Ovis aries: one gene and its partners. The protein of the gene in region 2 purifies or fractionates together with the protein of the main gene of each other region. This does not show direct contact. Links are inferred from orthologs where the notes say so. Each region holds a gene or a part of one and is shown on either strand. Other genes may lie near its edges.

The links.
Region 1: the proteins of POLR2H (region 2) and RPAP2 purify together in Homo sapiens (affinity purification with mass spectrometry; 3 studies listed by BioGRID and IntAct, with this or other methods). This does not show direct contact. The link is inferred for Ovis aries from reciprocal best matches to the Homo sapiens genes POLR2H and RPAP2.
Region 3: the proteins of POLR2H (region 2) and POLR1E purify together in Homo sapiens (affinity purification with mass spectrometry; 3 studies listed by BioGRID and IntAct, with this or other methods). This does not show direct contact. The link is inferred for Ovis aries from reciprocal best matches to the Homo sapiens genes POLR2H and POLR1E.
Region 4: the proteins of POLR2H (region 2) and MED26 purify together in Homo sapiens (affinity purification with mass spectrometry; 3 studies listed by BioGRID and IntAct, with this or other methods). This does not show direct contact. The link is inferred for Ovis aries from reciprocal best matches to the Homo sapiens genes POLR2H and MED26.

Annotation. Positions count from the first base shown.
Region 1 is NC_056054.1:69,579,221-69,582,720, forward strand, and holds part of RPAP2 (putative RNA polymerase II subunit B1 CTD phosphatase RPAP2), read left to right. Parts: intron 1-506; coding exon 507-542; intron 543-2,398; coding exon 2,399-3,323; intron 3,324-3,500.
Region 2 is NC_056054.1:203,612,170-203,616,161, forward strand, and holds the start of POLR2H (DNA-directed RNA polymerases I, II, and III subunit RPABC3), read right to left. Parts: upstream 2,801-3,992; 5' UTR 2,667-2,800; coding exon 2,594-2,666; intron 1,635-2,593; coding exon 1,551-1,634; intron 1,471-1,550; coding exon 1,377-1,470; intron 835-1,376; coding exon 751-834; intron 1-750. UniProt on the Homo sapiens protein: DNA-dependent RNA polymerase catalyzes the transcription of DNA into RNA using the four ribonucleoside triphosphates as substrates.
Region 3 is NC_056055.1:51,249,217-51,252,716, reverse strand, and holds part of POLR1E (DNA-directed RNA polymerase I subunit RPA49), read left to right. Parts: intron 1-1,556; coding exon 1,557-1,690; intron 1,691-3,500. UniProt on the Homo sapiens protein: Component of RNA polymerase I (Pol I), a DNA-dependent RNA polymerase which synthesizes ribosomal RNA precursors using the four ribonucleoside triphosphates as substrates.
Region 4 is NC_056058.1:6,224,949-6,228,448, reverse strand, and holds part of MED26 (mediator of RNA polymerase II transcription subunit 26), read right to left. Parts: intron 1,492-3,500; coding exon 1,417-1,491; intron 741-1,416; coding exon 1-740. UniProt on the Homo sapiens protein: Component of the Mediator complex, a coactivator involved in the regulated transcription of nearly all RNA polymerase II-dependent genes.

The DNA of each region.
Region 1 (3,500 bases), about 130 Mb from region 2:
AGTACAACTGCTTTATCAATTAGGGCAAAAAGTCTGACTGACCATATAAACAAAATACAGGAGAATTATAATAATCTCTGCCCTCAATAAGCTTGTAGTCTAGTTGAGAAACTAGACTTAAAGATATGAAAAGTAAGACATTTAGATAAAATTTCTGTAGTAAGTCATAGAAGAGTACATGATCAATGTGTATTAACTGTAAAGACAATGATGATTAAAATTTAGAGAAGGGAGAGATTTACTTTAACAGGTTAATCAGGGAAACTCATTGGGCTTGTGGAACTTAGTCCAGAAATATGAGAAAATTTTGGATAAAAAAGATTAATCCAGATTTCTTGTGGATGAGTTTTACAATATGTTGTCATTTAATATTTTTTCTTAAACGTTTTTATATGAACTGTTTCCTTTTTGTTATATTTTCTATCCAAAGTGGTTATAATGAACCACTTTCAAGTGTTTGATATATCAGGTGCTTTCAATTTTTTATTCCTGTTTTCTTGTCACAGACATCCTGATTTTCAGCTGCTACAAGAAGGACAAAGGTATGGTTGAATCAGTATCACTTACCTTCTATATATTCATGTTAATAGAAACATTAAGAGTAAACCAGGTGATATGAACTCTTGGACTTCCTGTGGTGGTGCATTATGTAAGTGCCCATTCTAGCCCACACAAAGAAATATTTGCCTTGTACAGCTTTTTTTCTTTTGTGATGGTAAGATGATGTGTTTGATCTGTATGATTTACTGTACAGCTGTTCCTACCAAGGAAGTCTAATTGAACCTGTTGAAATATGACACAAACACAGCTTCCATCTGAAATACTGTGCTTCTTTGTCAAGCAAATTGTGACAATTACATTTGTTGAAAGGTTTTTATAGCCTTATTTTGTAGAATTTCAAAACATTAATGTATCAGTTATTTAATTATTTGAAAGAGTGTTTAAAGCATTAATAGAAATTCCAAGTTGTATTTTTTCCTAAACTTTCCTAGTGACATTGCTTGCCCAGCCATGATCATCTCTCAAAACATACCCTTTTATCTTCCAGAGTAAATTTTCCTGGTTATTAATCACTACGTTAGTTATATGAAATTGAGCACAAGCGAGATACTCTTTAATTATATAAATCTTCAGTTTATGGGTTTGAAATAGTATAGAAAAACATAATTACCTTACAATTCCAAGAGAGAGTGTACATGAAAATTGTTATTCTAAGTTTTTTGAAATTGTACTTTAGTTACAGTAGACAGTTCATGACTGTCTAGGCTAAATTCTAACTTTAAAAATGTTACCTGATACTGAATAAACTTACTATCTTTTTTCTCCATCTCCATCCAGAACCTTGTTTTCAACTCTGCTTGTATTCTTCTTTTATACTTTCCCCAAGCATGCTTTTTTGTTTATTGCTGAATTATTTTATTTCATTTTAAAAACCTTTTTAAAAAATGCAATAGCCAGTTTTGGAGAGCAGTTTACGGAAAAATTGTGTGAAAAGTAGAGAGTTCCTTTATACCCTTTCATGACTCTCCCAGTACTTCTTGACCCAGAATCCTTCCCATCCTGAGCTTTTAAAGTTCTCATTTGTGCATTTGTTTAAGGGTAATTGATCTCCTCCTCCCCTCATCTTTCTCGTTTGTATAGACAACGCTTCTCTTTGCCTTTACTCTTTCATGTTTTTTAATCTTTTGTAAACCTAATCTGAAAATTAAAGTAACATAGTCAAAGGGAAAACTATTGTCTTTAATTATTATCTTTGTATGTTAATTCTGGACTTTCAAGTATCTTTCATTGATTAATGTTGATTTGCCAACTTTTGCTATGACTTTCTTATATTTTTAATTTAATGCAATTTTCTACATAACTATCAGCCAGGATTGGAAAATGCTTAAACATCTTTTTTTAAATATTCAAAATCTGAACAGAGTTCCTACAGTATTTTTTTTTTTTTTTTTTGAGAAACCGGTAATGAATTTATCAAAAGAAACCTTAAAAGAAAAAAAAACAACTATGGATTCATTACAGAAATGGAGTGAGCAAAAATTAAAATAATTCAGTAGTATGACATTAGCGAGTGTTGGTTTGTGAGATTTTATTTGTGCGGGTATGGTTTGATTTTTAGTTTTGTTTTTCTTTTTGCTCAACTCGTAACACTTTTAAAATAATTAAGGAGAAAAGATAAGGGAAGAAGATGGAAAGAGAACTATATCAGATATGTAGAAAAATTACAGAATTATAGCTTTCTTCTGAAATGTGTGTGTGTTTATAGGCCTAGGTAAATATTAGCCTATAAATAAAGCCTTGCCTAGGGAATAAAATTTTTATCTTGAAAGTTACAAAGTATAAATTCTCTGGGACATTTTGTTTCTGTGTTACAGTTTTTCTTTCTTTCTCTCAACAGTGGTCCTTCTGGAGAAGAAATACATTTATGCAGCAAAGCCATTAAAACATCAGATATTGACAATCCTGGCCATTTTGAGAAGCATTATGAATCTAGTTCTTCTAGCACTCATAGTGATAGTAGCAGTGATAATGAGCAAGACTTTGTTTCCTCCGTTCTGCCAGGAAACAGACCAAATGCAACAAGGCCGCAGCTGCACAAAAAAAGCATAATGAAAAAGAAAGCTGGTCAAAAAGTTAACTCTCAGCATGAAAGCAAAGAGCAAACAGTAGTAGATGTCATTGAGCAGTTAGGCAATTGCAGATTAGATAATCAGGAGAAAGCTACTGCTTGTGAACTTCCTTTACAGAATGTAAATACACAGATTTCTTCAAATAGTTCTCTGCAAGAAAAATTAGAAGCTTCAGAAATTTCTGATATTAAATACAGTAGTTCAAAAGTAACTCTTGTAGGCATAAGTAAGAAAAGTGCTGAGCATTTTAAGAGGAAATTTGCCAAATCAAACCAAGTTTCTGGGTCAGCTTCCAGTTCATTGCAGGTGTGCCCTGAAATTGCAAAGGCAAACTTACTTAAAGCCCTGAAAGAGACTTTGATTGAGTGGAAGACAGAAGAAACTTTGAGGTTTTTGTATGGCCAGAATTATGCATCTGTATGTCTAAAATCCTCTTCAACCCCTCTGGTTAAAGAAGAACTTGATGAAGATGATACAAACTCTGACCCAGATAGTCATTCCCCTGCCTTGCAGGAGTTGAACAGCTTGGATGAGTCTTTACCATTTAGAGCCTCAGATACAGCCATTAAACCACTGCCAAGTTATGAGAACTTGAAAAAAGAAACTGAAACATTAAATTTACGGATCAGGGAGTTTTATAGAGGACGGTATGTTTTGAATGAAGAAACCACCAAATCACAGGACTCAGAAGAGGTATGTCTTAATGACAGTTATTTTTTTTTAATATTGATTTATTTGGCTGCACCAGGTCTTAGCTGCGGCATGTGGGATCTTCAGTCTTTGTTGTGGTGTGCAGGGATCTTTTTTTATTAGTTGGCGGCACGCAAACTCGTAGTTGCAGCATGTGAGATCTAGGTCCACCACCAGGGA
Region 2 (3,992 bases):
AAGGGAAATGGTCAAATCAATTAAGATACATCCATTTATTGGAATGTTACACAGCTATAAAAATGTTTAGGAATTTAAAAAAAATGTTTAGGAAAAGCTTTAAATTGACATGAGGAAACATGTTTTACATAACATTAAGCAAATGGAACAGAACAAAACATTGTAATAAACAACATGATCTCAAAGAAAAAAGTACATAGGAAAAAAAAAACCTAGAACATTCAAGAATGTTTATGTAGAAGATTCCCTCTGGTTATAGAATTATAGGTGACTTTTTTCCTTCTTCATATTACTTTTCTGCTTTTCAAATTTCTTGCAAAGGGCACATATTGTTTTAATAAGGTTTTAAAGAAAAGGAAAAAATAGTTGGGCAGAGAAACCAAAGAACTAGGGATTGGATTGCAGAGTAGCAAAACACACACACACACACAAACAAAAAAGCCTAGCAGTTTAATCACTTATGCTGCATTTAGTTCTTGGAGAAGTAACTTTCCTTGGCATTTCACTCAGCAAGATTAACAGTTTCTCATTTAGATCACAGGCCTTAAGATCCTGACAGAGGGCAAACTGACCAGCCTACATTTCAGACTGAAACTGTTCCCAAAACAGTTCCTTTCTGGGTCCCGCTAGGTCTGAGGTGCTTGAAGAAAGAAATCCAGGGAGCCTGAGGATGGTCCAGATTTTCAAAGCATAGCCCAAATTCTCACAAAATGAGAAGGGAAAGGGCTCTCACAAGACCAAGGAACTTACAGGCGTGTTGCTGCTTCAGTAGAAGTTTCGTCTCCCTCAATCCTGTACACTTTCCCATACATGACATACTCAAATTGGTCAGCCCTGTGGAACAATAGGGGCAGTTATTCTTAAATACAGTTAACAAAAGTAAGAGGCCCTTTAAAAAAATGGTAACTGGTAACTATACGCCAGCATCATAACACCAGGCACTTTCTAAACGTGATGTCATTCAATCCTCACAGCAACCCTGTGAGCTAGGTATGACCATCAATGTTATTGATGAGAAAAAACTAAGGTTGAAGGAGGTTAAGGTTATCCAACAAATAAGTGGTAGAGCTGAGATGTGAACTGAGTGGGCGTCCAAAGCCTTTCCATCACACCAAACTCCCTCCCAAGACACAAGGCCCACAGAGCCTAGGTCATTCAGTGCTCATTTCCTCCACTATCAAAAAGTGACAACTCACACTGTAATCACTGCTTTGGATAAACACCTGGATGTCTGGATTCTTAAGTGCTGCACTTTTCTTAAGCTAACAGAGTCTGCTGATAATCATTTATTTCATGAATTAAGTAAGGGTTTTTCTATACACCTATCCACTTAGTCCTCAGGCACATTTCAGGTGCTCCCTTTTCCATCCCCTCACCTGGAAGGCCTATCATCTGTGGGGTTGTATTCACCATCATCCAGAGTACCATCTTCATATAAGGTACTGGCTATGACCAACCGGAACTTGTCACCTGAAAACAACAGCGGTAGCAGAGGGTGGAGACCAGCTGAGATGGCATAAAGCCTCCTGCTGTTTGTGTTCAATACTTACCCAAGTCTACCGGGTAAATCTGAATGTTTACATCAAGGATGAGGTCCATCTTGAAAGATTCACTCTCACAATGCAGCCGAGACACTGGAGGGGAAGAGTGGCAGAAGTTAACTGCCTGTGGCCCAGGGCAGACCCTACAGGGCAGGGCAGACAGGTACTTCAGGGGCCTGGATGCAACAGAATACTCAGTCTAATGCAGTCTGTATCCACTGGCCTCTCATCTGCTCTCACAGAAGTACAGGCTCAATCAGAATCACACATGCAGGAAGGAAAGGGGAGACAACCTGTGGCCAGTGGACAGAATCCACAGAAAAGAATCAAAGATCCTCTGGCAATAAATAATATCCAGGTTCTAGGCCAACCTAAGTGATTAAGAAATAACCTGATTTGGGGCAAGGTATTCATTCATCCTAAGGTTTCCTCTTCCTGTGTCAGGTGCTGTGCTAAGGGGATTGATTATCAAGATGTGTAAGAACTGGTGTTTGTCCCGAAGAACTTATCAGTGTCCAGGCAAAGGAAGAGACACCCAGGACAATTATTGATAAATGACAGAATAAAGAGGTGTATACCAAGCAGTCTACTCTTAAACTCTGAGAAGATTTTACAAACAGCTAAAGACTCTGAGGAACGGGTTGTGAAGTCGGATTATTCACTGTACAACCTTGGGTGGGCTGCTTAGCCTCTCAGAGCAAAATGGGTAAGACACCGCCTACTCCTGGAAGAAAATAAGTGAGACAAAGCGCGTGCGAAGTGTTAAGTACAGCGCCCGGTCCAGAGCGGGGAGCGATTATAAAAGATGCCTGGAGTCCACCAGCACCAGCAGAAAAGGCCACCCAGGCAGCGAGCACAGCTTGTGTGAAACCAGGGAGAGCTCGGGAGTCTCCGTTTTCTTATCTATAAAATTATTTCTCGAGAGAGGTCCCCACACCAGGACCCACCGGTAGGGAAAGGCCACGCGAAAGTGGGTGGACAAGCAGCCTGGGGGCGGGTACCAGAGGAGATTAGCCCCTTCCCCCGAAACCGCCCCTCCAAACCTTGCTTACCTCGGTCAAACTTTTTGCCTTCCGGGTCAATGTCTTTTACATCAAAAATATCCTCAAAAAGGATGCCCGCCATGGTGAGGGGGCCACGAGAGTAGCAGAGGGACTGGGCGCGCTGACCACGACGACTAGGGGTAGCGCACCCCCTCGCGTGGAGGAAAAGAGGCGCGCTAAGACGACGCAGCGCTGAAACGGCAGCGGCAAAGGAATACAATAACGCATGCGCATAGAAGAACTGTACCGCAGCCACTTCCGCTGCCTAGCTCTCGGGGCTTCTTAACTTCCGCCCCGAACGATTGTTTCCCAGAGGTTTCAGAATTGAGGGCTGGTTTCGGGTCCAGAAAACCCCGCCCCCGGCGGCGACACGATGGGTCCCACCTCCGACAGAGGTGGCGTCGCGTCCGGCTCTCTCCCGAGGCTCTACTGCGCCCTCTTCAGAAGCCGGGTCTGGAAGACTGGAATGCTCAAGCGGCCTGCCCCAGCCAGGGACCTTGATCCTTGGCCCAGAGAAGCCCGGCCCGAGCCTTACTGTGCCGGTCTGCGTGCCCGCCGAGGGCAAGTCCGCACAGAGAGTGAGGGGAGCAGCACCCCGCCCCCAGGGCGCTGGCCCGACTGGGCGCAAAACCCAGCCCTTCCTGCTGGCACCCAGGCCGGCCCGGGCCGGCTCGTCCCAGCTGGATGTCACCTGAGCCGGGTCCCTCCAGTTTGGGAATTTGCCATGATGTCACCATGGGGAAGAGGAAAGCCTGCACCGTCCCCTTTCCTGCTCTCTTCTCTCACACCACCCCTTCAGCAGGGCATTAACCCCAAACCCACTGCCCTCCTCGAGCCCTGCCCCTTAAGCTCTGTTCTTCCCTTTCCGCTACCACGGTCCTCTCCTTCTAGACAAGCTCTCCTACGGGCTTCTTCATCCTGGCACTACCCTATCCTACAGATGCCACCTCTTTCTTTACATTGCCCCTTCCTCTAGGGTGCCAGCTCTCACTTCGGCCCCCTCCTGGGCACTGCTCCCTTACCCGGGAGCCCCCTGCGACCTCCCGCGCGCCCCTTCACCCCGGCGCTGCCTCCTCCTGCACACTGCCTGTTTCCTGGGCACTGGCCTCTCCTGACACTCTCCCTGACGCTGCTCATACACTAGTGCTCACCCCCTCTGCTCTGTCCTCCGGACCCTCATACAGAACACAAAGCCCCAGCAGGCCGTGTTCCCCCATGGCTGCTAGACGTCAGCACCTACTCCGGTTTCTCTTTGGGCCCTGCCAGGGAGAAGCGACCTCTGTCCCCACCACGCCCGCCTCCCAGGCACCTAGACCTCCCTTCCCTCTGGCCTCACCCATTCCCGTTCCCTCCCCATCTCCACCCCAACCCCCCGCACTAGCCGAAGGCCAGGTGGCTCAAAGTGCAC
Region 3 (3,500 bases), on a different chromosome or scaffold from region 2:
TGAGCTTTTCTAAAGTTAAATTATATATATAATTTTTTTATTGGTTTTTTAATGTTTATTATTTTTGGCTGTGCTGGGTCTTGCCGCGCAGGCTTTCTCTAGATGTGGTGAGCAGGGGCTAATCTAGTTGCGGTGCTCAGATTTCTTATTGCGGTGACTTTTCTTGTTGCAGAGCAGGGCTCTAGGGTGCCCAGGATTCAGAAGTTGCTGCAAGGTAGTTGGGATGCACGGGCTTAGTTGCCCCAGGGCATGTGGGATCTTCCCAGACCAGGGATCAAACCAGTGCCCCTTGTATAGCAAGATGGATTCTTCTTTTTTTTTTTTCATTTCTTCTTGCTCTTTCATTTTTTTTTTTAGTTATTTATTTTTTTGTTGCACTGGGTATTCATTGTGGCATATGGGATCTCATTCCCTGACCAGGGATTGAACCTGAACTCCCTGCATTAGGGAGTCTTAGCCACTGGACCACCAGGGAAGTCCCGCAAGATGGATTCTTAACCAGTGGACAATCAAGGAAGCCCTGAATTATGTTCTTTAAATATAGTATGTTTTATATAATTCAGAGATGATTGCCTCTACTCCCCTCCCCCTTTTTTTGCCTTTTAAAACAGCTTTTCTTATATGATGATAGTGGGGGATTTTTTTGCTTTTGAGTTTTTCTTTTAATAATTTTATCTTGAAAAAATGTTGTCAACCCTAGGTTGGTTCCCTAGATATTTGGAAATTTTACTGGTCAGTGAAATCCAAAGTCTTAGAAAATACATTTTTTCCCCCCTCTCTAAAGATCCATTTCCAAAAGAAGCTTCATTGCTGGTTCTTCATTGTCTTAATGTGATGTGGCTCAGGGCCAGGTACTGGAAGGAGCTCTGGGCTGGGATTCTGGAGAACTGAGTCCCCATCTGCCTGATGGACTATGTGGTCTTCCCCTCACTGAGCCTTAGTTTTCCCATCTGTACAAGGAGGCTGCCATGAGATGACACCGAAGAGCCTTTTATGGCTGCGATTCCATGATTGTGATAGTGGTAGAACAACAGTATGTAACAATAACAGTCAGCACTGATGGGACTCTTCCCTGTGCCAAGCGCCACTTTAATTGCATTGTCTCATTTACTCCACAAAAATCCATAGGGTGAGGGTATTTAATTTAGGGGCAAAGAAACAAAAACAGAGACGTTCAGAAACTTGCTCAAGCCACTGCATGGCAGAGAGAGGATTCAGACCTAGGTAGGTGAGAGCCCGTGCTCCAGACCACCACATCAGGATTGGGCAGAGTGCTGAGTCTTGGACACTGCCTGTGAATAAAGTTTTAGTGGAACATAGCTTCAGTCATTCATTCCTGTGTTAATCAGTGGCTGCCTTTGCACTGCAGTGGCAGTGACCATTTGCTCACGAAATGTTTATTTACTGTCTAGACCTTTACTCCCCCTGCACTAAATTCATGCTCCTATTGTAAGGAGCTGGTGGGATGGCCCTTCCTCAGCTGTTGACTGTATACCAGGTGTGGGGTGCCTACTGGCTGGTCTTACACATTTCCCCTTTTCCCTCCCCTGTTGTAGTCACTGCTCCTTTGTCATAGAAGCGTTGAAGTCTTTGCCATCAAATGAGGAGAGCCGAGACCGCCAGGCACGGTGCATATGGTACCTGGACACCCTCATCAAATTTCGAGCACAGAAAGTGATTAAGCGGAAAAGTAAGTCCATGATAGACTTTTTTTTTTAATTGAAATACAGTCGATTTACATTGTGTTTGTTTAAAGTATACAGCAAAGTGATTCAGTTACATATGTATTTATACATATATATATTCTTTTTCAGATTTTTTTCCATTATAGATTATTAAAGGATACTGTATATAGTTTCTTGTGCTATACTGTGGGTCCTTGTTATTTTATGTATACCAGCATGTATCTGTTAGTCCCAAACTCCTAATTTATCCCTCCTTCCCTTGCTTTTCCCCTTTGGTAACCATACATTTATTTTCTATGTCTATGAGTCTGATTTGTATCATTTTCTTTAGATTCCACATAAAAGTGTTACTATATTTGTCTCTCTGTCTGGCTTTACTCATTATGATAATCTCTAGGTCCACCCATGTTGCTGCAAAGGGCATCATTTCATACTTTTTTATGGCTAAGTAATATTCCATAGAAATATATATACTACATCTTTATCCATTCATCTGTTGTTGGACATTTAGGTTGCTTCTGTGTCTTGGCTATTGTAAGCAGGGCTACAATGAACTTTGGGGTTTATATATCAGGATAGGCATTTTATTCTAGTTATTTCCAGTCTGTTATCTGTCTATAACTATTAGACTAATTCTAGTGAAGAAAGCTGAGCGCTGAAGAATGGATGTTTTTGAACTATGGAGAAAACTCTTGAGAGTCCCTTGGACTGCAAGGAGATCCAGCCAGTCCATTCTAAAGGAGATAGTCCTGGGTGTTCTTTGGAAGGACTGATGCTGAAGCTGAAGCTCTAATACTTTGGCCACCTCATGAGAAGAGTTGACTCATTGGAAAAGGCTCTGATGCTGGGAGGGATTGGGGGCAGGAGGAGAAGGGGACAACAGAGGATGAGATGGCTGGATGGCATCACCGACTTGATGGACATTGAGTTTGAGTGAACTCCGGGAGTTGGTGATGGACAGGGAGGCCTGGCATGCTGCGATTCATGGGGTCTCAAAGAGTCGGACACGACTGAACGACTGGACTGAACTGAGAGAAGAAATGGGCATGTCTTTCCAGGTCTTCATTTATAACTGTGTAACAGAGGGGGTACTGCTGATGTGCTGAGAGAACTTGCCAAGCTCTTTCCTCTGAAAATAGGGTCGAGTTGGATTATATGATTGCTCAGAGCTAACATTCACTACTTCTGTTCTATGTTAGGTAAAGTATAACATCCAGTCCAATCAAGTGAATATTCTAGGGGAAGGTTAGAACTAGTTGTATGGGGAGAAAAGTTGGCCTTGCTTGTGAAGGCCTGTGGCACAATGTTGTGTCAGCTCTTTCTGGCTTGGAGGGAAGTCACTTTCTGCTGGTAACCCATGTCACCTGTCACCAGGGCATGGGTGTCTGCCACACATGCACGGCCACCCAGAGTTGGAAATCCAGAGAGAGACACCTGTGATTTGAGGCCTAAGGTGTATACAGTTGTGTTACTGTGACTAGGCACCTGGGGTTTATACAGGAACACCTCGTTCTGCCATTCTTCACAGATACCATGGTTTTTACAAATTGAAGGTTTGCAGCAACCCTGGGTTGACCAAGTCAGCACCATTTTTCCAACAGAGTCTGCTTGCTTTGTGTCTATGTATCACATTTCATTGTTTGTGAATATTTTCAACTTTTACATTGTTATATTATGATGGTCTATGATCAGTGATCTTTGATGTCACTGCTACAACACTCTGAAGGCTAAGATGATGGCTAGCAATTTTTTAGCAGTAAGGTATCTTTTAATTGAGGTATGGACACTGGTTTTTAATTTTTAATTAATTATTGG
Region 4 (3,500 bases), on a different chromosome or scaffold from region 2:
GAGCCCTTGTACGTGTACGGGCTCCGCTGCCGGGCAAAGGAGCCCTCGTGCCGTGAGTTCCGGGAACCGAGAGAGCAGCGAGGTGGCCCCTTGGGGTGGGGGGGCCCTGGAGTCTCGTCCACCCTGTCCAACTGCTGCAGCACCACAGCCTTCGTCTGCAAGCAGGGCCCGGGGGGCTTGCCCAGGCCCGGGGAGCTGGTGTGCGGCCTCACGGCATTGACGGGGATCTTGCCGCTGTGCTTGTCATTCTCGCCGTGCTCCAGGCGGTTGCCCTCAGGGCCCACGTGCCCACTGCTGTCCAGGGGGCTGGGGAAGCTCTCAGGGCTCCCGCTGATCCCATTGGTGGGGAGGGGGGACGAGTTGGGTACCAGGGAGTCGTGGCTTGCCTTGGAGACCTTGGGAGGTGGCCCAGGGTGACCAAGGTCACGCTGGTCTCCCCGGCGCTTGCGGCTGCCCAACCTGTCCAGCCGCTGCCCGCACAGCCTTGGCATGTCATTGCGGTACTTCAGGTCATGGACGCTCTTGGGCGGGCCGGCCGCCCCTGCCTCTGGCCGGCAGTTGTGGGCACCGCCGTTGGCTGAGCCGGTGGCACCCGCCAGCCCCCGCAGCGCAGCCTCATTCTGGTGCACGGGCTCGATGAGCTTCTGCCAGCTCCGCAGCAGCTTCTTGGCCCGTTTGGCAAGCTCCTCGTTCTTGGTCTTCTTGCGGACGTCGTTGATGAGCTTCCCAAGGCGGGTTTCCTACAGCCAGAGAGACACAATGACACGCTTTTAGGACAGGGACACCCCATGAAGAGAGAGCAGAGGCAGAAATGGAGCTTCCCATGGAGCTGGGGGAAGGGCTCGTGTCTTTGAAATGACCCCACAGGCCCCCTAAACCACTGGTCTCCCAGACACAAAACCTATGAAGATTTTGGGCCCCTCGTGACATTTAAATTCTCAAACCCAAGTCCTCAGATCTTACAGTCCATGGGACAGACAGAGCATTCTCAGAAGCATCATCTCACAGGCTCCCAACTCCTGAAGGCCGCGGACCATTCACGGCCACCTCAAGGACACTTGGCCAGGGGAGATTTCTAGGTGAGAGTACACTGTGGCAAAGGCAACAGCACACGGGACCTTGAGCCAGCCTCACTCACTGGAGCCTCTGCTGCGCACTGCAGAGTGTGCAGGGCCTCCTGCAGAGAAAGGGGCCTCAACTCTGAACTAAAGCCTCTCGTATTTCCTGCAGTGCCCATGTGCTGTGGACTGGCACAGTGCAGGCCAGAAGGGCATGCCCCCCTCACTCCTCCCTTTAAGGCCTTGCTGGGCCAGTGAGCAAAGTCTCTGGGGCTCCAAGAAGTCAAGAAAGCCCAGGGCTGGGGCAGCCCGGGCCCCGCATCACTGCCGCCCTAGTGCTCAGACCTGGAATGCTCACCTCCAGTGCCTCTTTGGTGATGGGGTATTTCTCCAGGCTGGAGATGACTTCCTGCACCGCCACCATGTTCCGGATCTGTAAAACAAGAGCCGCTGTCAGACCTCAGGCACTTCTCCCGGTGCTGGCCTGCTCCATAATTCCCCCTTTCCCAAGCGCCGGTAGAGCCAGCATCACCGGAGACCCCCTCCTGCAGCCTCCTACCTGCTCCCAGGGGCCAGCACGCACCTAGTGCGCACCCTCCCGTCGGCCTCCTCCAGTGCCCGGTGAACAGGTGACTGAGTCTGTCCACGGACACACCCATCTGCCCAAGCGGCTGCCGCACAACTGAAATTCACATTTATGAAACAAGATTCACTCTTGATGCGGGAAATGCACTCGAGTCTGCCATCTGATGGGAGGCTGAAGGACTCACTGAATAAAACGCACCACATTTAAAACAGCTGTGCATAATCATCTAATCAATTTAGCTGCCTTAACAAGATCTTTATAGAGTTCACTGAAAGACATCCCAAGGAGAGCAGAAGTCACAAAGTGGGAGGAGACCAATGCCACAGGGCCCGCCGGGTCTGTGTTTGGGCCCACAGAGAACGCGGGCCGGGAGACACGAACAGGGACTGGGCACGACAGGAAATGGTGCAGCAGCGCTCAACTCTCCTGGCCATCAGGCGAGGCACACCGAACCCACAAGCGGCTGCAACGAACACACGCCAGACTGCTGGAAACGGTATCTGACAACACCAGGTAGTTCTGGGGTACGGCCAACTCTGGGGAGCACTGGGCTGTGTCTGGTCAAATCAAACACTTGTGTGTCTCGTGACCAAGCAATTCTATACCTCGATGACACGTGCTATGAACCAGGCCCTGTTCTACCAAGGTCTGTTTCCATACAGCACTACTCCACTGAATTATCACAACCTCAAGCAGAAGGTGTGAACTATTATTACCATCACATTTTATGAATGTGATGTAAAGGAGTGGGTCATGTGGTCACATGTTGTAACGACACCACTGTCGTCCAAAAGTTGAACAGACTAAGAAATTCAAGAGCTCTAGAAATGAGCACACTGCAGCTTCAGTACATCAACAGATGAACTTCAAACCACAGTGGATGAAAAGTCACAGGAGATACACACTGGGTTGATTCCAATTACACTAAGCATCACAGCATACTCAAAAATTAAAATGGACCCCAGATCTAAATGTGAAAGCAAAAACTCTAAGGTTTCTAGAATAAACAGGAAAATATCTTTGCAACCCTGGGGTAGACAGATTTTTCTGGAGCCCCAAAGCAGTGATGTCTAAGAAAATATCCTGACAAACCGGGCAGTGAGGAGGCTGGTCCCACGGGAACAAGGCCACCCGCTCCCTGTCCCCAGCCCTGGGATTCTGGCCCGCACGGTCCTGGGCTTGCCACATGGCCTCTCTCCACCTCAGTGACCTCACCCTGGTGTATTTAGAGCCCTGGGTCCCTACACACTCCTGAACCAGCAGTGTCCACAGAGCGAGCCCAGTGGCACAGAGTGTCCTTGTCCTTGGGCAGACGCTGTCCTGCTGCCAGAGGAGGGGCAGGCAGAACACCTGAGCAATGCTGGGGGCTGGAGCAAGCTGGCACTGTAGACCCTCACACAGCCAGAGACCCTCCTGGAAGCTGCTCAGGGTGGGGCTGGGGAAAGGCCTGCCACCCCACTGTCATAGCCGAGCAGCCTCTACACTCAGGCGGGCATCCAAAGGGGCTTTCGGCTTTGAGGCGGTGCTCAGGCTCTCAGCGCTGTGGACAGCACTGTCTGCTGCCTTCCTCAAGCTCAGGACCACCCGAGGGCTCATCCCTCTGGCTCCCCTGCTCCAGCCATGCTAGCAAGGGCACTGAGCGCTATGTAGGGAGCATTATCTGGGCATCTGGAGGCAATCAGGCCCTAAGGACTAGGAAGCAGGCCAAGTTCTGCCCTCAGCACAGCCAACAGGCAGGCGTCCTGGGCTCTATGCAGTGCAAGGTTGGGCCTCCAGCCTCAGATCCAGCAGACAGTAATAGCCCAGCAGCCTGCGGCCCTTGCCTCCACTCTCAACGAGAGGGCCCAATGCACAGC